Schizosaccharomyces pombe: one gene and its partners. The gene in region 3 interacts genetically with the main gene of each other region. Each region holds a gene or a part of one and is shown on either strand. Other genes may lie near its edges. The genes, in order: kap114, spn1, amo1 and rnf170.

Region 1 (7,359 bases), on a different chromosome or scaffold from region 3:
AACGTAAGTATGCTGATGCGACCTGGTTGTCTGTGGTGAAAGTTTCATCAAGTGGTGGTTGTATTGATCGCGAAGAAGAATGGATTCAACAATTTCAGGCTCGTTGCATTAAGCAATACTTTTATGGTGATGATCGGATGCCTCTTTCTCCTTTGTCTATGATAGTTGATTCCACCCAACTGGTAGTGTATCGTGTTTTGGAGGCGTCTGAAAGCGGACCTAAGTCTTCTGTCCTTCCTTTAGGGTTTGAAGAAGAAAATACTCAATCTGAAAAGCAAGATGGAAATACATCTTTAAGATTACATGGCAAGGGCGAATTTTTGGAGCGAATTAGTACTGAAGCAATGACCATTTTACAAAACTCCATTTTAGCAGTTTCAAGTGTCGGCGAAGATGAAGATGAAGCAACAGTTGTTGACTCATGTATCATAGGATATGTGTTTGTTTCGGACGTTGATGATGTTAAAAACAGAATGACTCTTTTGTCTCCAGTTCCTGAACAACTTCCCAGCAATGCTTTAATAATGGGAACTTGCAAATGGCAGGAGTAAATTCAACGTTTAATGTTACACGAGCTTATTATACATGTTCCTAGAGTACTAAAAATTATGCAAATTATATCATTTATATATATTCGTTAGATAAACTTATTTTTTTGTTAAAAAACAAGCATGATGCGCTGTTCTGTAATTCTAGGTTTACAAAGCACGACGATTAATGAACGATGATTTGAAAATATTATATATAATGCCGACAGTAACTTCATAAAGGATAGATTGAAAGAGGCTAGAAAAAAATTAACATTTGTCAATTCAGGTCCAGCTAAAGGAAATATTCCGCTGTCACTTTTGCAGCTGGCTCCACAAAAGGCGTTTCTTGATTAGGAGCTGCATCAAAAACATTAAAAAATCTTGATTGATCTGTGTCGATCTGAAGGATGCTAGCCAAGTTGGCACATCTGTAACAGTAATTTGGGGCAGACCACACTGTCGATAATTTTTTTTCAAACAATATTTGATAACCTTCGCTGCATAGTTGATGAGCTCGTAAGATGTGCTTCATATTGTTGTATTCTAGAAATTTTGTTACAATAACTTCACCGAAAGAAAAACCTGCACCACGGGGCGAAAGTGAAAATTCTTGCACGCTAGGATCCGGATCCGACCACACGAGATCGGCCATAGGTCCCTCGTGTGGGAATTCTCTAAACCTGTCTAAGACAAGGATTTGATCTATGTGCTGAATACTAGGAGAAAGTCCACCATGAACACAAAAAATAGTGTCATCAATTGTTGCAGAAAGTGTTAGGAAATCAAAGATATCGGTAAAATATTTCCAAACATTAGCATTACCGTATTTTCTTAAGCATTCTGAATAAAATCCATAGGTTTGGGTTATTCCTCTGGACTCATGGTTTCCGCGCAAAAGAGTAATCCTCTTTGGATACCGTAACTTGAGACATATCAAAAGGGTTATAGTTTCTATACTATAATAGCCCCGATCAACATAATCACCTTCAAATAGTTAGCAACGAATAATAAAGCATGTGCTGTGTTCTCAATGTTCAGTTTTAATGATTTGTAGTAATCAGCTAATGTGATTCTAATGAACATCATTTTAACTTACCGAGAAAAAGATAGTTTGTGTATGGGCATGGGCCTCCTATACGAAAGATTTCAAGTAGATCATCAAATTGGCTATATACTTTGTAAGCAGAATGTCCACAAAGAATGAACTTTTTGCAATATTGAATCTATGCATACCCATGAATATCACCAACCACGGTAATGGGAGTAGACAACCTGACAACATTGCTTTCTTGCATTAAAACTTCCTTTGCGAGAGAACAAAGATAAGCAATAACGGACTCAGCAATCAATTGTTTTTCATATAATCTCTCTATTATGTTATCGAGGTCAATCATCTTTAGGAATTTCCGTGAAACTAGTGAGATTTATTAAAATACAAAAACAATGTCTTGCACCGTTTTGTATTGGATATATATAATTTAAGAAGACACAAACAGTGCTTGGCTAGGGAAAATTTCACCCAAGGTTTGTATCAGTCTAATCGGCTTTGACCGGATACGCTTCGAAAAACAAAGGATTAAGCACTTCTTATATGGAAAGCTTACGCGTTACTTCTCTTTATTTGCACGCATTAGAAAAATTCCACTAAAATGTTGTATGTGTCAGTTTTATGAAATTTGGAGGTTGGTTTCTGACTTGTCAGTGATCGAAACTACACGATTAATACATAATACTGTGTAGTTCGCCAATGAGATTTTAAGTTAAGAAAGCCTCTAATGGTATACCCAAAGAACAAAAATTACATAATGCTTGAAAAACGTGTTAAAATTCTTTCAGACATTCTATATGAATATCTGTCTCTTCTGCTGAAAAGGTTTAGTGCTTCTCTCGTTTCAGACCATCAGATAAATATTTCGGTTGAAAATAAGCGATAATTGATTAGGTATATTCTTGTATTCAAAGATCAGTCGGTCATTAAAAAACTCAGTTATGCAATACATTAAAATATAAGGAAAATCAAGAATGAAAATAGTAATAGTTACATGGCCTTTCTTTTTAATTTTTTTTTTAAATGAACAACAATACAAGCAATTATTGTTTCAATTAACACTATTTTGTTAGACATTAGCAATTTAAGTGACAATGTCACCTATTTACCATCCACTTCTTTGAACATGAATTTCCTAGTAACATTTCACTCTTAGTAGTACCTGCATTATACCTGCATAAAAAATTATTAAATACAGCCATTTTTAAGGGGTTAACTATACCCGTCTGTACATAAATATATTTATTATTATCTACTTTCTTTAAGCAGATAGCATCAAAACCTACCAATTGTTTAACGTCTATTATCACGCTAAATGGTTGAAAGCAAAATCATTAAGCTGCTTGAACAAGTGCAATCTGCTGATCCTAATTCAAGAATACAAGCCGAATTGGGGTTACGAGACCTTGAGAAATATCACGGTATGCTACTTAAGCTATAAACTAACCGAAAAAATTACTAACTATCTTTTACGAAGATTTTGCTGCGAAGTTAACAGATATCGCATCTTCTGGTGCTTCTGTTCCTTTAAGACAAGGTTCTCTCATTTATTTACAAAGATATATTGTTCACCATTGGTCTCCACTGTTTGAGCAATTTCAAGATGGACCGATACCCGATGAAAATGTCAAAAAACATGTCAGAGAAACACTATTACATCTTTTAGTGAGCCTTGACAATTTCACTTTAATCAAGGCTGTGGCATATGCTGTTTCTCTAATTGCAAACGTGGATTATCCCGATGAATGGCCAGAAGTTGTACCGGCCGTTCTGCATCTTTTACAATCTACTAATGAAAACTCTATTAATGCTTCACTGGATGTTCTGGACGAGCTTGTAGATGAGTCCCTTGTTGAAGAACAGTTCTTTATTATTGCACCTCAACTTGCATCCATTCTCTATCAGTTTATATTTTCCGCTCCCCCTAATGATTCCATGAGGATGTTGCAAGCTAGAGGAATTAAACTGTTTCGTTCTTGCCTAGAACTTATTGAGATTTATAAAGAAACGAAAGCTGAACATGTTCGTGTATTTCTTGAACAAATACTTCCCCCTTGGATGGATATGTTCTCGCACAAGTTTGAAGTTTCCCTCGTTGATGATCGACAAGTTATTTTACCTGATTCCTGTGGTTATTTTTGTATCATGGGAGAAATTGCTATGACTCTTACAAAACTTCGCGAATTGTTTCCTTCTAAATTGACACCGTACGTTGTGACCTTCGTCGAACTTGTTTGGAATATTATAGAAAAGTTACTAGATCCATATATACGAGAAGTTGTTTTTAGCGATGGTTTAGATGATTCAGCATTTGGTGATAAATACCCTATTCGTTATTTAGTTGAACTACTGCTATTCGTTTCTGTAGCTTTGCAAAGCAAGTTTGTTCAAAACTTGTTTGTCAGTAATACGGTCCCCGTACCTCCTTTACCTCCTTGCATTCCACTTCTGGTGCAATATACGCAACTACCTAAGCATCAAATTGAAGTATATGAAAGCGATGTCAGTGAATATATCGCAAACGAATTTTCTATGGATTTTGCTAGTGATACGGTTCGCGGTGCCGCCATCAGCGTACTAAGTGCATTTGAAGAGCATACCACTTTACCAATCCAGCAAAGTCTACGAGAAATGTCCGCGACTTACATATTAAACAATGAAATCAATTGGATATATCAAGAAGCCCTCTTGTATGCATGTTGTTCCGTGGATGCTGCTTCAGATGACACTTATGATGATTACTTGGACCCCATATACGAGGCTATCAAAGTCCGTATTGATTACTCCGATGCTCCAATTTTACTTCTTTCTAGGTTTTTCCTCTTTATCGGATATTTCTCTGAAAGCACCGTAGTAGCCTCTCAATTTTTCCAAATAATAATGAATAATTTGGTTAATGCTTTACAAGTTGATACTGTACAGTATGCTGCTATGAAAGCTATTGAGCGCTTTTGTTCAGTCGGAAAAGTCAAACCGATACTTTCTTTGCAGCCGATGATTTTGGAAGTTCTTTCTCAGTATGCTTCGAAGTCAAGCGATGAAGCTCTTGTATTACTTGTGGAAGCTATTTCTTCTGCGGTAAAACTTGATTGTGCAAAGGCTGCTGAATTAGGTAATTCTGTTATTCCACTTCTATTTAATTTGGTTGCTACGAACGCTTCTGATCCTTACATCTGTGGAATTATTGAAGACACCTTTGAGGACATTATCCATGCGGCAAATAACTATGAAAGTATGTGTGAAATTACTTTGCCAGAACTATTACAGGTCCTGAATCAAGAAGACCCGATTATGGTTAATATTGGGGCTACCTTGCTTTCTTGTTTGATTCGTGCAGGTCCTTCACCACTTCCTAATGGATTTGTTGGATATGTCTTGCCCCCTGTTTATAAGATTACTCAAATTCATTCTGGAGACACAGAACTGCTTCAGTTATCTCAGGAAATTCTTAAGGGGCTTTTGGAAAAGGACACACCACAATTATTGGAAACGGAGATTTCAGGTAGTAGTGGCTTTCAATACATTCTTTTTATTTTGCATCAGTTACTTGACAAAGAGAGTGATGATTCCGCCTGCTTTTTAGTTGGGCCTATCTTACTTGAATTGGCTGATCACGCAAGTCAAATGGTCGATCTTCAGTCCATTCTTCTTTCTTGCATTAAGAGATTGGCAATAGCTGAACAACCACGGTTTATTCAAGTAAGTTCTTATTGAATACCTGTTTCTGACTTTTATTTAGAGTATAATTTACGTTTTTGCCAAATTAATTGTTAAGGACTCTTTGGGAATGATGCACTTCTTGACATCGTCTTTATTAAATGAACAAGGGCTAACGGCTTTTGAAGTACTTATGACCGTTTGGTGTGACAACTTTGTTTATTTTAGCAACTTCAAAAACATTTCTATAATGTATGTCCTTATATTATTTGATGCTTATATAAATTCTAACCTGAAAGTTGTATTGCTATGACTAAAATTTATTCTTTTGACAGTCCTCTACTTGATTCAGTTCAAGTTAAAGGTGAACTTATCTCTCATTCTAATCGCATTATAACCCGGTCGCAGTCTAAACTTCGTATGTTAAAAGCTTTTGATAGTTTTCATTAACCAAAACTAGATCCCGAGGAATATTCATATGTAAGCGTTGGAGAAAAAATATTGCGACTACTTTCAGAGGAATTTGTTTCGTTGTCTAAAGATGCAATTGTTGAAGAAGTTTCCGATGATGGAGCGGATGATTGGGATGACGGTCCTATCAGTGCAGAGACGTTTGGGCTATCAGCTAATGGTACGCGAGACCTTTAAAAGAAAAGGCTAACAATAGATGTTAACGAATTGTCCAAAGATGAATTTTCTGGCGTAGACAATTCAGAAGATGAGGATAATACTGATTTGCAGGTGGGTTAAAGTTTTGGTTTTTAGGGCTAACATTTTTAGTTTTATCTTCTAGAGTTTTTTAAGGAAGCTATGAAAAGCAATCTGCACAATATCAACGAGGTTGTTTTTAGACTACCTCAGGAAGAACAGGATGCGCTCGTTCAAATTAAAGAAAAATAAAGGTGTAAAGGATTTAAAAAATCAAGAATACCTGAACGATTTCCAATAGTTTACTTGCACTATAACATTTACTAATATCATGTGCATTAAAAGGAAAGTAGGGTAAAATTATACCTTTCAGAGTACTTAAGGCTCTAGGTATAAGGTCAAAAGGATTATTTAAGCTGAAAGGGACTAAAGTATATGAAGAATAAAGTTGGTAAATTAATTCTTTCAAAAGATACATTTTTTAAATTAAAATAAACAGACAAACTTAGTTCATTATAAACATAAAAACAAGGTTATATAATACCAATAATTACCATTTTATTGGAGAGAGTATGATGGTAATTATTAACAAAGTGCAGATAAACGAGCATGAAATAAGGTCTTATCTGGAGATTAATATGGCACAAGTAAATGAGCATTTCAATATGAAAATAATTAAGACTGAAAAAGAACAAAATTAGGTAAATCGGCATTAAAATATGCCACCGTATATCTATGCAAAAATTCAAGAAACACCAGGTCAGCAAGCTACCGAAAGGTAAAAGTCACAAAAAGGAACGGGATTATTTCGTAAAATCAAGGGAATCCATAGTCAAAAGAAAACTAAAAACAAAGGATATGTAAAAAGCATGCAGTGCAACCATAGAATCATAAAACAGATAACAACCAATGATATACAAATAAGTTAAATAACAGAAATAGAAGATATGCCAGAATTTAAATACGTAAAAATGCACAAAGGCACGCCTATAAACATATTGCTAAAACAAAAGAGTACAAACTTTACCACATTTGCTTAGCACGTGAGCTCGAAACAGCGCCAGCAAGTACAGCAGGAGCACGAGTCACAGGATCAATAATTGGTATACCAGAAGATTTCCGAGTACGTGAACCGACGTTTTGATGTAATCCAGATAAAGGATGATGGGTGTAATTAGAAACCCCTGGGTGTACATTAGGAAGTACATTAGGATACAAATTGGGGGTCATGGGCGAAAGCGAAGGAGAACTGCTAGTAGGTGATAGACCAGTAGACTGATAAATAGATACTAACTAAACCAATAAAGTTAGTACGCACGCTTTTATTCCTCTATGAATAAAAAGTATATGGTACAAAACAGAAATGTAATGGCAATGAGCACTTCAGGCTTGACTCAGGAACATAATTTTCAATTTGTTTTAAAACCTACCTCTTCGTCTGAAAGAGATGGACAAAACTCCAAATCATCTTCCATA
Region 2 (5,788 bases), on a different chromosome or scaffold from region 3:
TCAATTTGCATTCACGTATTTAGGAGCAAGTGTATCATTTCTTTGACATAAATGTAAAGCTGGCATGAAGGAAAGAGGCTCAACGCATAGTGACAAACTTAAACCCTTATAATTCATTAATACTCGGGCAATTGCATGGGCTCAAGGGCTAACAAAACATCAAATACAATATTTTGAGCTTTAGAAAAGATTTTCAGCTTGCCGGACGATGTTAGAATGGCACAATCAGTGTTCACTTTGGAAAGTGAGAATACTGAGTTTGTCAAATCTAAAGAAGTACACCTTTTGATATGTTCCATAAGAATTGGGTAGAAAAATGAGGAGCTACGGAAAATTTTTTTTAAATCTTCAGGTCTTATGGAAATTGTGACTGATGAAAGATTAGGATTTCCGGTTGTCCAGGTCAACTCAAGCGGGAGGGCTGTTTGACTATTTACATGATTTTGCCAAATTTTCAAAAACTCTAAAAGTATTTCTGGAGCAATTAGGCATGGTAAAATTTGTGTATCAAATTCCTGCTGGAGGAACTGCTCAACGGCCATCCATAGCGCCCCATCCATACGAACAAGAGCTAATGAAAAGAATACAGAATTCCCTTCAAGCGATAAACGTGTTCTGTCAGCCTCCGCGTGGGAGAACTTCCGAAATGACTCGAAGAAAAACATCTGGCCTTTGCGTTTCACCTCTAAATCACTAGACGTCTCATACGAAATATCCAGCTTTAAAAATTTAGGGAAACTAGATGTGTTTCCGAACTCCGTAAACGTAGCTTTCTCAATTATCAAGTCAGCAAACCTAGTACTATTTGTAAAGTAACCAGTACGATCAGTACCATAGCGAAGAAATCTCGTAAGCTTTTTACCTATTTCAGTCAAGTTTGAATATTCAAACCCAAACAAAGGAGACAATCGATATGCGGTGTATGTTACATTATAAAAATGGTGATCCCTTAAAGTCATAGTCAGCCTGAGCTAACACTTCAAAACGCTCTAATGATTTTGTTTCTGCTAGCGATTTTTGGGATCATTAATTAAAGTACTTAAAAAAACGTTATGAGTTATTAACTACATTGACCTTCATCAAATTAATGAAATATGTAGAGGTTGCTACCTTTTTTACTAATCGCTATGTATCATTATATAAGTCACCGTTCAAATAATAATAAAGAAACTTGAGTATCAACATTTTTTACAATTAAAGATACTGGTGGCATATATGTAAATATAAATTTCATTTATTTACTAATACTTACAAAGAAAGAGAAGCTCATAATGATCCTTCAAATATTTCAAATTGGCCAAGTAACTTTGTTCTAATACCCCGCTAAATTTATCGTTCGAAATAAACATTTTGTACAGTGGTAAATAGTATTCAAGCAAGTAAACGTATTTAGCATCAAACCGATCTTTGTATTGAATGACTTACAACAAATCTCATATTTACTATTCTATAACACCGAGAAGGTATCAATTGCAACAGTGTTTTTCGTTTAACCGAACAAAAATTATGCAAAAACTAAAGTCTAAAAACGACGTCGCAAGCAAATCTCTTCTAATAATATATGCATCAAAATTTTTTCGACTCTTTCAACTGAAATCTAGCTGTCTAAATACCCCCACTGACTGGAAAATAGATATTTTTCGATAGATTGAAAAATACACTGGCAATAAAAGAAGCAAACTCCCACTTTAACGGGTTGAATAGAGATAAGCCGGCTGTTTCAATTTGTTTGTTCAAGCAAAATGTCAATTAGTGAACCTCCTAAAAAAGAAAATTTCGATAAAAATTAACGACTCCATATGGTAGAATAATCAAGGAAAGATATACAGCCCAATATTGGACTTTAAGTAGTAATTAAATAACAAAGAAGGAGATAGCAGTAGAACTGCGGTGTCATACAAATAAATATCAGCTAGTAAGGAGACTATTTAAAAAACTTCCTTTTACTCTTCTCATTTTCGGCCGCAGCTTTAGCTTGCATTAACCGATTTTTGTGATCAATTAAGTCAGCTTTTTGCTTCTCCAATGCTGCCTTCATTTCGCGATGACGGGTACGTAACTCGTTTTCAGATTGTTTAAGACGATCTTCTTTTTCTTGAACCTTCTGAGAAAAAATGGTTTTCATTTCTGCTTCCATTTTCATCAATTTCTCTTCGTGTAAGGCACGCTCCTCTTCGAGTTTAGCACTAGGGTTGACTTCACGAAAAACGGAGTGATCTTGTGATATTCCGCTGCTAAGCAACCGTTCAGTACGATACGCTTCATACAGCTTATTTGTCTGTTCTTTGAGTTCTTCTAAGTGTGTTCGAATAAGCATTTCACGAAGCTTAGGGAAATCAGAATGCTCTTCATTATCGACTTCAACAACGCCCCATGGGTACCGCCTCCCGCGGACGCGCTTTCCTTCATTGTTGACCACGAATGTATTAGAAGCAATTATAGCAAAAGGTATTCTACTCATGATGTCTGCATTTTCTGCCACTGATTCAGGATCATCGGTCTCATATGTCGGAGGGAAGAAAATTCTGATATTGTGGTATTGGATATCTCTCAAAATCTATCATTTTTTCATTAGCAACTTTAAATCAAGATTAGGGCTTACCATTTCCTTCGTAAAGTTAAGTTCATCATCCGTTAGTGTATCGGCTTTCGCAATGATGGGTATAATATTTACTTTCTCGTGCAAAGCCAACATAACTCGAAGCTCCATAGCACTTATAGCATGACCAGTAGGCTGAATAAAAAATATACAAGCATGAACTCTTGGATCTTGAATAGTAGATCGAGGATTGTGCTTTTCAAGCTCAAGATATTGATCATAGCGACCCTCGATATCTGTCAAAACTGGTTGCCAACAATCGGTGTTGTCAATAAAATCGCCAAAACCGGGTGTATCAATTACATTTAATTGAAGACTGATACCATTTTCCACTATTTCAACTGCAGAAGAGTTGATCATAACAGTGGGTTCTGGGTTCACTCCAAAATCCCCAGTTAAAGATTTCTGGGTCGGTGGGTAAACATCTCTATTCAATAGCGTATTCACAAGTGTAGATTTCCCTGAACCGCTTTCCCCTAATACTAATACGTTGAAATTAAAACCTTGACGAACACAACGACGATGCCATTGATTAGGAAGACTAGCGAATCCAACGTATCCGTTCAACTGACGCTGGATTATACTAACGTGCGGATTGAACTAAATATTAGTAAAGGAATTTTAAATAATTGATTACCTCTTGTTCAGAATTATCCTGAATGGGTTTTTCTTCATTCTTGTTTTCTGAAATGGCTGCCTCAACATTTATTTGCGTTACATTATCTGTAGATGTGAAAGAATCAACGTCGGAACCCCTGCTTCTAGTGGAATCATCTTTAACTGTAGGCATACCATCCGCGAGTACCATTGACGCCATGTCAGAAATTATCGAAAACCCCCGTGTTGGTGGTTATGTATGTGATGAAGAGTGTAGCTAGGAGCTCGAGCATGAACATCTATTTGCTCAAGTAGGAAATTAAACTTAACCAATTTTTTTCTTAATTATGTTTCACGAAATTATAGAGCTTTTTTGAAATTTCTTAATTCACTGTCGCGTCGAATTTAGGTCCTTAACCTCGAAATATACACGGCTGGGATGCATTAAATAAAAAGATACTAAACATTGTTATTCCATTGTTTTAGTTGTCTTGTTAATTTTACAATTATTTTTTTTAACAATTGGATAAATCTAATGAATTAAAATTATCCATTATCTGTATTTGTTTAAAAACATTTTTTGACCTTTTATTTATACCTAAATTATTTGTTTGAATACCCTTTCAGCATGCAATCATCTAAATCTTTTGAATTTAATTTAAAATATTTATTTTTCTATTAATATAGAACCTTGGGCAGTAGTCGTTGAATTGAGCATTAATGCAAATCCAATTTATTGCACAACTGATTATTTATTCAATTGAACTTGTACGTCGACAATGTGACCCTCAACGATTTTAAAGATTTAATTATTAGACATAAAACACAGTTAGAAATTATTGCCTGGCCAACATTTTCATGCTAATAGATGATTCAGAAACAAATATCTATATTTCTTTTCCTACGAAAAAGTAAGATCAAACTAAAACATTAGAAGCTTGTTTACCGTATATTTTTGATCTTAAAGGACTTTTAAGATAAATTTGAACTTATTATAAATAATAAAATGTTAAAAAAAAATTTAACATAATAGGATCATTTTTACTAATTAAATAACGATTATATTAGTCTTTATAACAGCGTTTACAGTCTCCGAATTGCAGTATAAGCTCTAAAACTCAATTGAATAAAGGCATTTAATAGTCAATCATTGTTTTGTTTTCCTTCTAGCTATTTCAGCTCTTCTTGCTATCAAAGCACGGAATGACTTAACGCGGTGTTGTGTGGCTGGTATCAGAGAAAGAATAACTCCAGTAAAGGTACGCAAGCAATCCCAGTATGTCGTCGTTAAAACTATGAATATAATATGTCAAAAATTAATGTGAAAAGACGTTAATCAACACAATATAGAAGTACGTGTCTTATATTAAGAAATCGAAATATCTATAATTGAATTTAATAACGAAATCTTGCGTGACTACGCTATTAATTCTAGTTGTTATGAATACAGATGGGATCAAGGTAACTGGTATTCACCTCCTTTTCGACGTAACCAGAGCCACACATTATACTGGACAAAGGCGTTCTCTGGCGGCGGAATCGAACCAATATATAAGAAAACACTCAAATTCTGGGTTTATTGGAGGAAATTTTTTATTTTAAAAACAGTTTCTTTTACTCGAAAAAGCGTTTTTAATACTTCTTTCTTTGGCTTTGTTTTTACTCGATAGGGGCAAAACCTGTACAAGCTTGATTCGTGAACGTACGACATAATCCTTTGTTTGTATTAATGCTTAAATTATCTTAAGTATTTATTAACGGGGTATTCACTAGTTGAAATACATTTATATATATAAGGTGTTACTTTCGCGACTACAGCTGTTAGCCGTTGCTTTTTTAAGGAATTCGCATAATTATTTAAGAACTCGATTCTGTTTAGACCCACAAAACAACATCCAGATTCGGGTTGATTTTAATTTTTAACTCTCTATTTTTATTACTCTTATTAAATTGTGCCCTTCCATTTTTATTTATAAACTTTAAGATGCGCGTGTACAATAAATCTAGAATTGTAGGGCAGCTCCTTTTTGTGGCCCTCGGTATTACTTTCATCTATTACCTATTTACTCCATCTGTCAATTCAAATGCCAAAGTTCAGATTGAAAACCGTGGGGGGAATTCTTACGAAATATACGATATGAACAAAATTACGGAATCTTCCGATCCCATTCGTAACAAAGAGGAGGTGTTAATCTTAACTCCTATTGCTCGATTTTATCCACAGTATTGGAAAAATCTTCTTGAGCTTGACTATCCGAGGAATTTAATTTCTTTAGGGTTTATTGTTCCTTCGTCAAAGGACGGTGCAAAAGTTCATCGTGAACTTCGGAATGCTATCAATGCTGTTCAGAAAGGTCCAGGCGATAAGCGTTTTGCCGATGTTAAAATTTTAATCCAAGACTCTGATCTTTCTTCAGGGCAATCAGAGGCCGAACGGCATAAATTTTCTGCCCAGAAGGAGCGTCGGGGAAAGTTAGCTGCTACCAGAAATACATTGCTGTTAAGCACTCTAAAACCTAGTACCTCTTGGGTTTTGTGGCTTGATTCTGACATTGTAGAAACTCCCTCCACGTTAATCCAAGATTTGGCGGA
Region 3 (5,205 bases):
ATTGAACTTGATAAACTAAGTATTATGAAAACAGGCGCTGTTGGAGAACCGGGTAATATGTATTATGAAGAGTTAGCCTCAATTCCTTTACTCGTTAATGATTGATTATAAAGGTAGTAGTTGTTGTTTACAAAAACGCTTTTGGAATCGATTGTTTACCACATGATAGTCACATGTGTAAACAAATATGAAATTGGTCATAGAAGTAATATCGGTGCAATTTATAACTCATTTTGTTTTGACGAAGCACAAATATATAATATAGCTCCTTTTACCATCATTTCTCGAAATTGATTGAAATTTTGGAAACTATTCAAATTATTTTGAGATCCTTTATTATAATTGATTTCACATATACATGCTGATAATTTGACAATGGAAGACAAAATTGAAGGTAATAAACGAACCATTCACATCTTTTAACACATCTCATAGTTTGCTTGCAAAAGGCTATTGCTGTCGACACAATGAGCATTCCGGTAATGCAGTTAAAGCATGAGCGTAAGTAGACTAATTTATGTTAAATTATTAATTATTAGTTGCGCTTAAAGCCCGAGAAGAATACCTCCGAAAAGAACTTCCTTTGAAAGTTCGAGCAAATACTTCTCGCATGAACCCCGGAGCTAAAACTTGGATTCCACAAATTAATCACCGAAAAAGTAGAAATCATTATAATCGTAAAGAAACATGCCAGTTTCCCCCTCTATACAATGTTGAAGCTAAAATAAACCATTCATATTCTGCGTTTTATCGTCCGTTTACCAAACGTGAGAATGGTTTGTGGTATGCGAATCCGTATTATATGCAGCATGGTCCAAACGGAAATTACCATCACGTTTATTATTAGTCATGTTTTCAAAATTTTGTGCCAATTTTTTCAATTTCATTCAAAAACCGCATCTTCATCATTATGGTTATAATCGACGCCGTTAAAAAACCAGGAAAAAGAATTTCATAGTCTTAATTTCTTTATTTTTTTCTTTAATCAGATGTCTACAATAATGATTTTTCCATTAATTATTTTCTTCATCCATTGCTATGGTATACAAGCACTTTAGTGAAAACCGCTGTATTACTTTAAAGTCACTGCTTTGCGTACTTCTCATAAGGAAGCAAATTCAGTTAAAGTGCTTATTGTCATATGCCCCATTGCATTAAATATTTATAATCTGTACAATTCATCAATCCATTGAAGAAGCAAATCTTTGTTGGACGGCTTGTAACAATTCTATTCTTCAGCTTATTGCACTTCAAAATGCTCAGAAAAGCGATCTCTACAGCACGAAACTTTAAATATCCTTTATTTAATTGCGAAAGGAGGTTTTCTTACTTTGATATGTTTCGTAGTAAACGAAAATTTACAAGTGGTATCCTAACGGAGCAACTAGCGTTGAAATTAGATTCTGAACTGGGTTACGTGAAACAGGTTCTTGATGAGACATTACCTAAAAAAGGATACGAAAAGGCTCTTCATTCTTTTATAATCCATGAAGATCCTTCGCTTAACTACATTTCAGCTTTAAAAGAAACGGCAAAGGAAAGGTAAGCTATTTTTCCTCAATTGTTTGTTGAATTCAACGATGTGATTTCATGTCTATGCGTTGGCTAATATACAACGTTTAAGATTATGCTTTCAGCAGAGCCTTTAAATTTCTTTCGATATAATAGTACTAACGTAGCTAGAATACGCGTTACTGTTCCCGTATATAGCTCTCGTAAAAGTTACGTCCAAACAAAGCCGATAACGCATAGTGCTGAAAATGAAAATGGTAACGAAACATCTGATGAACTAGTGTTCTTTCAGCATTCAATTCCTGCTTATGTCCAACTCACTAACGTAAGATCTTAACATGTTATTATAACTTACAATTATAGAACCATGGCACAATTTTGTGTGCTTTAATACTTTGTAAGGGCATGCTTCATTTTGATAGCATTTCTTTTCAATCACCTCAAAACTCTCAAGCGTTCTCATCTGACTTGAGGTTAATTTTACAAAAATCACAGAAGTACACTGGCAGAAAAACAAAGCACGTTCCAGCTTCTATCAAGTCAAGTTTACTTGAATTCTTGGATGAACAAGGAATTACAGTAAAATTCATGAAGGCGCTAATATCTCGCAGTTGGCGAAAAGAAAATGTCTCCTATAAGCATTGGATTCATAATATTATTGGATTTATTTTACCTTCTGAATCATCAACAACTAAAAAATCAGACTCCCAATGATGGTATAATTGTTCTTTGAATTCCTTTACTTTATGATTAATTGGAGCAATAACGCTACACCACACTACGATTCCAAATGGGACGCCCACTCTAAAAATAAGAAAATTTGGAGTATAACATATGATTATGATACATTTTTATACTTATCTTTAGCATATCATTTCAACTATTCAACAACATGGTCGTTTGTAAGTATTTCCTTCAAAATCGGTGCAGGTATGGTACCAATTGTAAAAATCAACATACGGTACCTTCTAATGGACAAAATGCATTTTCTAAGGTTAATGTCTTTCGTCCAGAGAATGGACGACCTCCAATATGGGTACAAAGGCGTTTGAAGAGAAGCGATTTAGATAATTTGCTTCCCAATAGAAGAATGAAGGATATTAACGACGATCTTAAAAACGCAAAACCACAATGGCCTTTTACAGGTTATTCAGTAGTTGAGAATCTACCATCAATTTATGAAGGCGATGTTTCGCCTGAAGAATTGCGGTGGTGGGCATATCAGGCTAAAGCGACAAACAATATGCAAGCATATGAACAACGCCAGAAACAGTTGATGGATGATGTAGAAGCAAAAGCAGCAGCCGTTAAACGGTCGCCTGCTGCTGCTTTCGATGAAATGAGAAATAAACTCGTCGGAAAGACAAATTATAAGTCAATTTTTGATAAGTCTACTAGCAATTCAACGGTTACGTCTAATCAGTTCAACAAGCCAACTCAAAATAGTCCTTTCAATTCTTTTTCAAATAACAATAATTCTTTCAATAACAATCAGCAAGCAAACGATATTTTTGGCGCCCCTACGACTTCTGCATTTACATCGCAATTAAATGCGTCTCCATTTTCTCAAAATACATCCTCAAATTCATTTACGGGAAGTAATCCAGTCCAAAACAACCCATCTTCTTTTGGTTCGTCTAGTTTTGGTTCGGCAACCTCAGGGCCATCAGCATTTGGGGGAATATCTCAGCCAAATTCGTCATTTGTTAATTCCGGACAAGGGATTCCTAACTCATCATTCTCCTCGTTTTCACAAGTTGCTTCTGGGTTTTCACAAAGTCAAAATGTGAATGATCCAAGTTCGATTTTCGGTCCTACTGTTGCCAGCGGTTTTGGAATACAGAATCAGCCTCAGCAATCAGCTTTTCAAAATTTGAATACTCAATTCTCGCTTCCTAATAATTCACAACCAGTTTTTGGTCATACATCTTTAACACAACCAGTGAACCCAAATGGTTTTACTGTTCAGCCCCCTGCTACTTTTATGCAACAACCTCAAGGCCCTTTTGTTCCGCCTAATACTACTTTTGAATCTCCATTTGCCAATGTAACCTCTAAAATATCCGCTTCAGGATTTTCTAACGATAATCCTGCTAACAAAAATATAATCCAAACTCCTATGTTTGGATCTTCTAACACAATTGACGGTAAGTTTTTTTACTTTGTATCCTTGCTAGTATACGAATATGACTAACGATCATCGACAGGTCCGATTAATCCAATAGGTGCTTCTTCTATCCAAACTTTGGATGATCAAGTAGAAATGAGTAATTCCAATCAAAATCTCGCATTTCCCCCAGAAATGATTCAGCAATTTGAAGCTCAAGATTTCATTCCCGGAAAAGTTCCAACAACAGCCCCTCCACCACAATTTTGTTAATTATTTTATTAAAATAGTTATTCAACGTAAGTTTTTTCGGGGATTTTTGATTAGTATTAAACTTTGTTCAAATTTCATATTCGATATTAGGTTGTAAATATATATATATATATATATATGTAATTTCAATTACGAGTATTAGACAAAGTGTGATGCTTTCCTACACGGCTATCTGATAAAGTTGTACCTAACTCGATTTATGTATCATTGTAAAATTCTAGAAAGAAAACAGTACTATTTTTTGTTATTAATTCATGAATCAAACTGATAGCTGATTTGATATAGAGGACAGAACTGTCCTGCACGCCTATTGGGTCTAAAGAGATGGTTGTCCCAATTCCACACACAATTCACTCCAGATTTTTGCAAGAACCCAAAACTTTTGTTTATGGCTATTTATATATAAATCTCAATTTTATTTAATTCTTTAAATGTCTGCAAATATTTCTTACCTAGTCAATCCACCTACAGAGGTCGGTTCATCAATTCCAGCTGATACTGAACATGCCATTTCAGTTACTTTACCTACATGGAAATCCAATGTTGGATATGAAGAGGGAGATCCTAATGTAACTACTAAAATGAAGTCAGGATATCCGAGGTTCTTTATAAGCGCACACGTCAAGGATTGCATTAGCATCATAAAGAAATTTCCAGAGATTGAGATTTTGAAGCTAAAGGACTACGATATGTTTTTGTATCCTTCATTATCCGTTGCTAAGCAAAGTGCAGCTTTTCTTGAAAGTAAAGGACCTATAGACTCTGCGGAAGTCATTATTTATGATGCCACGAAGGGACTGCGAAAACATCTTGATTCAATTGACCGAAATCGCAAATATACTGAAGAAATACACATACCTCAGGTTTATTCTGTATTGTTTCCATCCAAATACTTTGGGATTGCCAAGCAATTCTGGCAACATACGGGGGACGGTATTTCAAGCAGACGCGCAGCTGCTTTTCTGCATTCCTACAAAAAAATTCAGTCTATTTCCGAATTTTTGGTTGCCCAGAGGTCTATTTCTCATCTCAAAAGTAAAAGCAGAAGCCGATATGCTTCCCATCCAGATCTACAGGCTTTGAATACTTGGATGACTAACGAAGGAAACCAAGCTAATGATGAAATGGAAGACGTATCCCTATATTTGGAGGAGAGATATGGGCGTAATTTAGATTTAAGTTTGGCTACAGCAGCTAAACTTGTTCTTCGACGACGTATCGCTGGTACCTTAAAAGATGAAGTTGATTTGCAAAAGGCTTTACCCAAAGAAGGGTCTCAGTATTTACGTGAAGTTAAAGGTTTAAGTCACGAC
Region 4 (4,775 bases), on a different chromosome or scaffold from region 3:
TGCATGCACGCTTACTTGCGAAGTAAAAATCCTCTGTAACGATTCCTAGCCAACGCATATGAAAAGCCACAATAACCTACTTGAATTTATATACGTTATAAAACTTATAACGAAGTACGCTACTCTGTATTTAGAAAAAAGGGTGGCCTACCGAGAGTAAAAACAGTCACACACAACACAATTTCCCAAATAGCTGAAAAGGAAACCTGCGCAGAACAAACGAAAAAAATCTAACAAAAATGGCTCAACGAGTTACCTACCGCCGTCGCCTTGCTTACAACACTCGTAGCAACAGAACCAGAATTATCAAGACTCCTGGTAACAACATTCGCTATCTTCACATCAAGAAGCTTGGCACCATTCCTCGCTGCGGTGATACTGGCGTCCCTTTGCAAGGTATTCCCGCTCTGCGTCCTCGTGAGTTTGCTCGTCTTTCACACAACAAGAAGACTGTCCAGCGTGCTTATGGCGGTTGCTTGAGTGCCAATGCCGTTAAGGATCGTATTGTTCGTGCCTTTTTGATTGAGGAACAGAAGATTGTCAAGCAAAAGCTCAAGCAATTGTCTTCTCAAAAGTAAAAAGCTGATTGACCGATTACTTTTTACTGTTCCCTAATTTACTTGGATTTCTTTAAGTGGAATAAGAATCTTTTCGGTGCAAATATTTTATTAACTTGTAGATGGTGGTATTTACAAATAATCGTATCGTAGACACAAGGCTTAATTGTAGTAAGGAAATGCAATTTTGTGAGTAAGTAAGTGCATGCTTTCATAGAGTACACTGCTATTGAATTTTGTATGGTTCTGAATAGCGCATATAATTTTATGATATTACAAGTAAATTTTTACTATCGTACTTTTCGTAGTCAACAAAATCATAAATAATATCAGTATAAGTTATTCCATTACTTATTCATCTTTGACTAACCCATTGTCTGATCAGGCAAAGCAAATCTAATTCTATGCTTGCAAATGGGGCAAGACACATTATTTACAAGTTTCAATCGAGACATAATGCAAGCATAGCAATATGTATGACCACAATCAGTAGTGTAAGGCGTAGTAATTGCTACGCGTTCATCTCCCCTTTGTACACACATCATACAGAGTCCACATTCTTGAGGAACAGTGGTTTCTGCGGAAGTTGTGTACTCCTTATACTTAATCCACAAAGAAGCAGGGATACGGGTGCAAAAGAGTGCATCTACAAACCCAACTGCTATTTGTTGAAACATTCGAAAACTTCCTAACGAGGAAGTGGAAAGTTCTTGGAATGACCCTAACTCTGGTAATGCTGTCTCTGAGATTAAATAACTCTGCAGCCCATTAATGAAAGTGTTTTTCCCTGACATGGCGGATAGCCCTTTCCAAAGACCTATAACACAAATAATCACATTCAGAAATCTAACTATTTTCCTAACATTAGCTGATAAACGCTTTCGTCCTAGTAGTGCGATTAGGGATTTGCATATAACGAGAGAATAAAGCCATTTTTTTGACTGGTATTTTAAATTTATAAATATTAATTCCAAAAAATGAAGGACAGACTCTTTGGTGGAGGGCCGTAGACCAGCTACAATGAAGCTCAGCTCATTCGTTAAACTGCGAGTTGTTTGAGTTGCAATATCTGCTTCAAGCATCAAGCTCCACCTCGAAGTCGCTAATTCCGACTCTATCATTGTGTTTATATTATTCAGTGCACCAAATATCGAATGAGAAAAAAAAATTTTTAAGTTGCGTATTACTGCTTAAATCAAGCCATTGAAAGTATTAAAGATCTAAATTGATCGTTATTAGACTAAAAATTAATCAATGTTAGAGTATTTTGATAAAAGATAGCAAATTATAGATTTTTAGGGCAATATTACTGGAATGTGGTGAGCGTTGGCGTCAGCTATGCACCTACCCACAGCGTATATCAATGCAACATGTCGATACTAGCGGTACGCATTCTTCCTTGCCACTTATACTAATAGGTCTTAGGGGTTTAAAAACTTGTTAAAGCATTCGAAAAGCTCAAAGGGGAGATCGAATGCTTCAAAGTCGGTTGATGTTAGTGTAAACAGGGACGTCGCCGCTTATACTGAGCTTGCTGCCAAAAATGTCAATGCCGGTGGGGATGAAGAAATAAGAGTCGCTAACTACCCTGGTCTTGAAAAATATCAGTTAATTGAAAATTTAGGAGAGTAAGTTATGTCCAAATTTCTTTGGCGTTTTTTATTATAGTATGATCATTTACTGACCCAAAAAGTGGTGCTTTTAGTCAAGTTTATAAGGCGTATTCCATTGATCGAAAAGAGCACGTGGCAGTTAAAGTAATAAGAAAGTATGAAATGAATAAAAAACAGGTATGTAAATTATTGAAATTAATGACTTATTTATTGAAATTTGAGAGGGATTTGGGTTTTTGGAGTCTTCATCAATTTTCAAAAGAAAGGGTTGAATAATAACGTCTCAGCATGAAGACATAGTTTTGTGGCTATACTTGGCAAACTACAAAGGCCTTGTGCAATTTTTTGACATGAATGAGAATGAGTTAGTGAAGCTAGAAATCATTATTCGCACATTGTATTATGAAGTTGTTGTTGCCCATTCCCCTTTCAAATATTCTATCAATTATTTTATTATTGTTTATCTAACTCTTTTTCAGCGGCAAGGTGTATTTAAAGAGGTTAACATTATGCGTCGTGTTAAGCACAAAAATGTGGTCAATCTTTTTGACTTTGTTGAAACAGAGGATTTTTATCACTTAGTTATGGAGCTTGCTGAAGGAGGTGAGCTGTTTCATCAAATTGTTAATTTTACCTACTTTTCTGAGAACTTGGCACGACATATAATCATTCAAGTGGCAGAAGCTGTTAAGCATCTTCATGACGTTTGTGGAATTGTTCATAGGGATATCAAACCAGAAAACTTATTATTTCAACCAATTGAATATCTCCCATCTCAAAATTACACCCCACCGAGCTTAGAACCAAATAAGCTTGATGAGGGCATGTTTCTTGAAGGTATTGGAGCGGGCGGTATTGGAAGAATACTGATTGCTGATTTTGGATTCAGCAAAGTGGTTTGGAATTCTAAAACCGCAACGCCTTGTGGAACAGTTGGTTACGCTGCTCCTGAAATTGTCAATGATGAGTTGTATTCTAAAAACGTTGATATGTGGGCGATGGGTTGTGTTCTTCATACGATGCTATGTGGGTTCCCACCATTTTTCGATGAAAATATAAAAGATTTGGCTTCTAAGGTTGTTAATGGTGAATTTGAATTTTTATCGCCTTGGTGGGATGATATTTCCGACTCTGCTAAGGATCTAATTACCCATTTACTCACTGTAGACCCTAGAGAGAGATACGATATTCACCAGTTTTTTCAGCATCCCTGGATTAAAGGAGAGTCAAAAATGCCTGAAAATTTTACGTATAAGCCCAAACTTCATGGCACGCCAGGTGGACCGAAATTATCCCTTCCACGCTCGCTCGTTTCTAAAGGTGAGATCGATATACCCACGACACCTATCAAAAGCGCTACTCACCCTCTTTTAAGTTCTTATTCGGAGCCAAAAACACCCGGTGTATCATCTGTACATGAGGCAATGGGTGTTGCTTATGATATTCGTCGCTTAAATCATTTGGGATTTTCACCTGAACAATTAAGCAAGAAGTCAATGAATACTGGCTCTATCAAAGAACTCATTTTAGATGAAGAAACTACTACCGATGATGATGACTATATCATTTCTAGCTTTCCTTTGAATGATACTTTGGGAAGTGAAGGTAAGGATCCATTTTCTTTAAATTTGAAGGAATCTTCTTTATACTCGAGGCGATCTGCTAAACGTGTTAATTGAACAAACCTTCTTTTATATCCTTCCTTTTGGCTCAAATCTAGCTTCCAGTTTACAAGCTGATGGTTAGAGTTATCTCTTTTGGCTCTTTTCATCTATCGTCATTGTTATTATTATATCATTGCTGTACACTGTGCACGACTGCTATTTATTTTTTCTAGAGTTTTTAAGTCGTTTGGCATTTATTTGTTTTCTCTAAGCGCACCGGCCACGCCAACATGATGGCCCTACATTCTTTTCTCTATGTTTAACTTTCAAGTTTTAGTTTGATTCTCTTTTTAGTGTTCTATCTTTGTTTTAGTCTTTCAATTGTTAAAGCATTAAGTTTTATTTGTTTACATTCTAGTTTCTACATTACACCTTTTCCATTTATACATTTTCAAAGTAATATAATACCATTTAAAGATGAAAATTTAATTTAACAGTAAAGTATGTATTAATATTTTCTTGGGTTAAAGGATACTTGTTTGGAGAAGAGAATTTCAAAACTATGCAGGCATTCGTAAAAAAAAAAGTAAAAATAGAATCTAAAGAATGTATACACGCAATAATTGGTATGGTACATAGCATGAGCATTTTGACGATAATGGATGTTAAATCGTCAAAAGATGAGAGAGCGGATTGGTTTGTATTATATCTTGCTAAAGGTTTTGGAACTCCGTAGCGAATCGATGATTAGAAAGGAAGTAGAAAAGACGTACCCAAAGATTCCTATAAAACACAATCCATATTGGTTTTATCTTGGCGCGGATTGCTTATTAAAAAAACTACCTAAATAGTAAAACGTATCGGAAACGAAACAATGCTGAACAACGATAATCATCCCAAAAAGAAATAAAGCATATATTAAAGTGAGCTTCTCAGTTGCATCCCTAATCCGTAATTTGAAGCTTGAAACTTAAATATCCACTTACATGGGTTGTTTTATT

What was found.
Region 1: mutations in amo1 (region 3) and kap114 together harm fitness less than expected from each alone (positive genetic interaction), as found in Schizosaccharomyces pombe (one large-scale study listed by BioGRID).
Region 2: mutations in amo1 (region 3) and spn1 together harm fitness more than expected from each alone (negative genetic interaction), as found in Schizosaccharomyces pombe (one large-scale study listed by BioGRID).
Region 4: mutations in amo1 (region 3) and rnf170 together harm fitness less than expected from each alone (positive genetic interaction), as found in Schizosaccharomyces pombe (one large-scale study listed by BioGRID).

The regions. Positions count from the first base shown.
Region 1 is NC_003424.3:2,371,920-2,379,278, reverse strand, and holds kap114 (karyopherin/importin beta family nuclear import signal receptor Kap14), read left to right. Parts: upstream 1-2,726; 5' UTR 2,727-2,893; coding exon 2,894-2,999; intron 3,000-3,055; coding exon 3,056-5,277; intron 5,278-5,317; coding exon 5,318-5,487; intron 5,488-5,508; exon of another isoform or gene 5,509-5,534; coding exon 5,535-5,653; exon of another isoform or gene 5,654-5,695; coding exon 5,696-5,866; exon of another isoform or gene 5,867-5,902; coding exon 5,903-5,976; exon of another isoform or gene 5,977-6,015; coding exon 6,016-6,135; 3' UTR 6,136-6,227; downstream 6,228-7,359. Other genes in the region: SPOM_SPAC22H10.05C (cleavage and polyadenylation specificity factor complex subunit), read left to right, coding at 1-551; ppa3 (protein phosphatase type 2A), read right to left, coding at 823-1,514, 1,627-1,697, 1,764-1,924; SPOM_SPAC22H10.02 (uncharacterized protein), read right to left, coding at 6,907-7,176, 7,314-7,359. UniProt on the Schizosaccharomyces pombe protein: Required for nuclear protein import and mediates docking of import substrate to distinct nucleoporins. Serves a receptor for nuclear localization signals. Mediates the nuclear import of TATA-binding protein (TBP) and of histones H2A and H2B.
Region 2 is NC_003424.3:4,850,714-4,856,501, reverse strand, and holds spn1 (mitotic septin Spn1), read right to left. Parts: upstream 3,463-5,788; 5' UTR 3,417-3,462; coding exon 3,237-3,416; exon of another isoform or gene 3,200-3,236; coding exon 2,603-3,199; intron 2,558-2,602; coding exon 1,925-2,557; 3' UTR 1,303-1,924; downstream 1-1,302. Other genes in the region: kinetochore protein fta1, read right to left, coding at 117-959; mannan polymerase complex subunit Mnn9, read left to right, coding at 5,181-5,788. UniProt on the Schizosaccharomyces pombe protein: Plays a role in the cell cycle. Involved in a late stage of septum formation leading to the separation of the daughter cells.
Region 3 is NC_003423.3:3,027,392-3,032,596, reverse strand, and holds amo1 (nuclear rim protein Amo1), read left to right. Parts: upstream 1-2,371; 5' UTR 2,372-2,404; coding exon 2,405-3,659; exon of another isoform or gene 3,660-3,719; coding exon 3,720-3,892; 3' UTR 3,893-3,912; downstream 3,913-5,205. Other genes in the region: SPOM_SPBC15D4.13C (ASCC1 family protein), read left to right, coding at 1-105; protein mug98, read left to right, coding at 468-501, 540-847; SPOM_SPBC15D4.11C (Mam33 family protein), read left to right, coding at 1,256-1,542, 1,684-1,837, 1,876-2,226; met3 (cystathionine gamma-synthase), read left to right, coding at 4,324-5,205. UniProt on the Schizosaccharomyces pombe protein: Involved in the cell polarity process where it is required for the correct termination of microtubule growth at the cell ends during interphase.
Region 4 is NC_003424.3:4,089,232-4,094,006, reverse strand, and holds rnf170 (ubiquitin-protein ligase E3), read right to left. Parts: upstream 1,886-4,775; 5' UTR 1,679-1,885; coding exon 923-1,678; 3' UTR 885-922; downstream 1-884. Other genes in the region: rpl3401 (60S ribosomal protein L34), read left to right, coding at 240-578; MAPK-activated protein kinase Cmk2, read left to right, coding at 1,928-1,942, 1,983-2,185, 2,251-2,347, 2,650-3,849.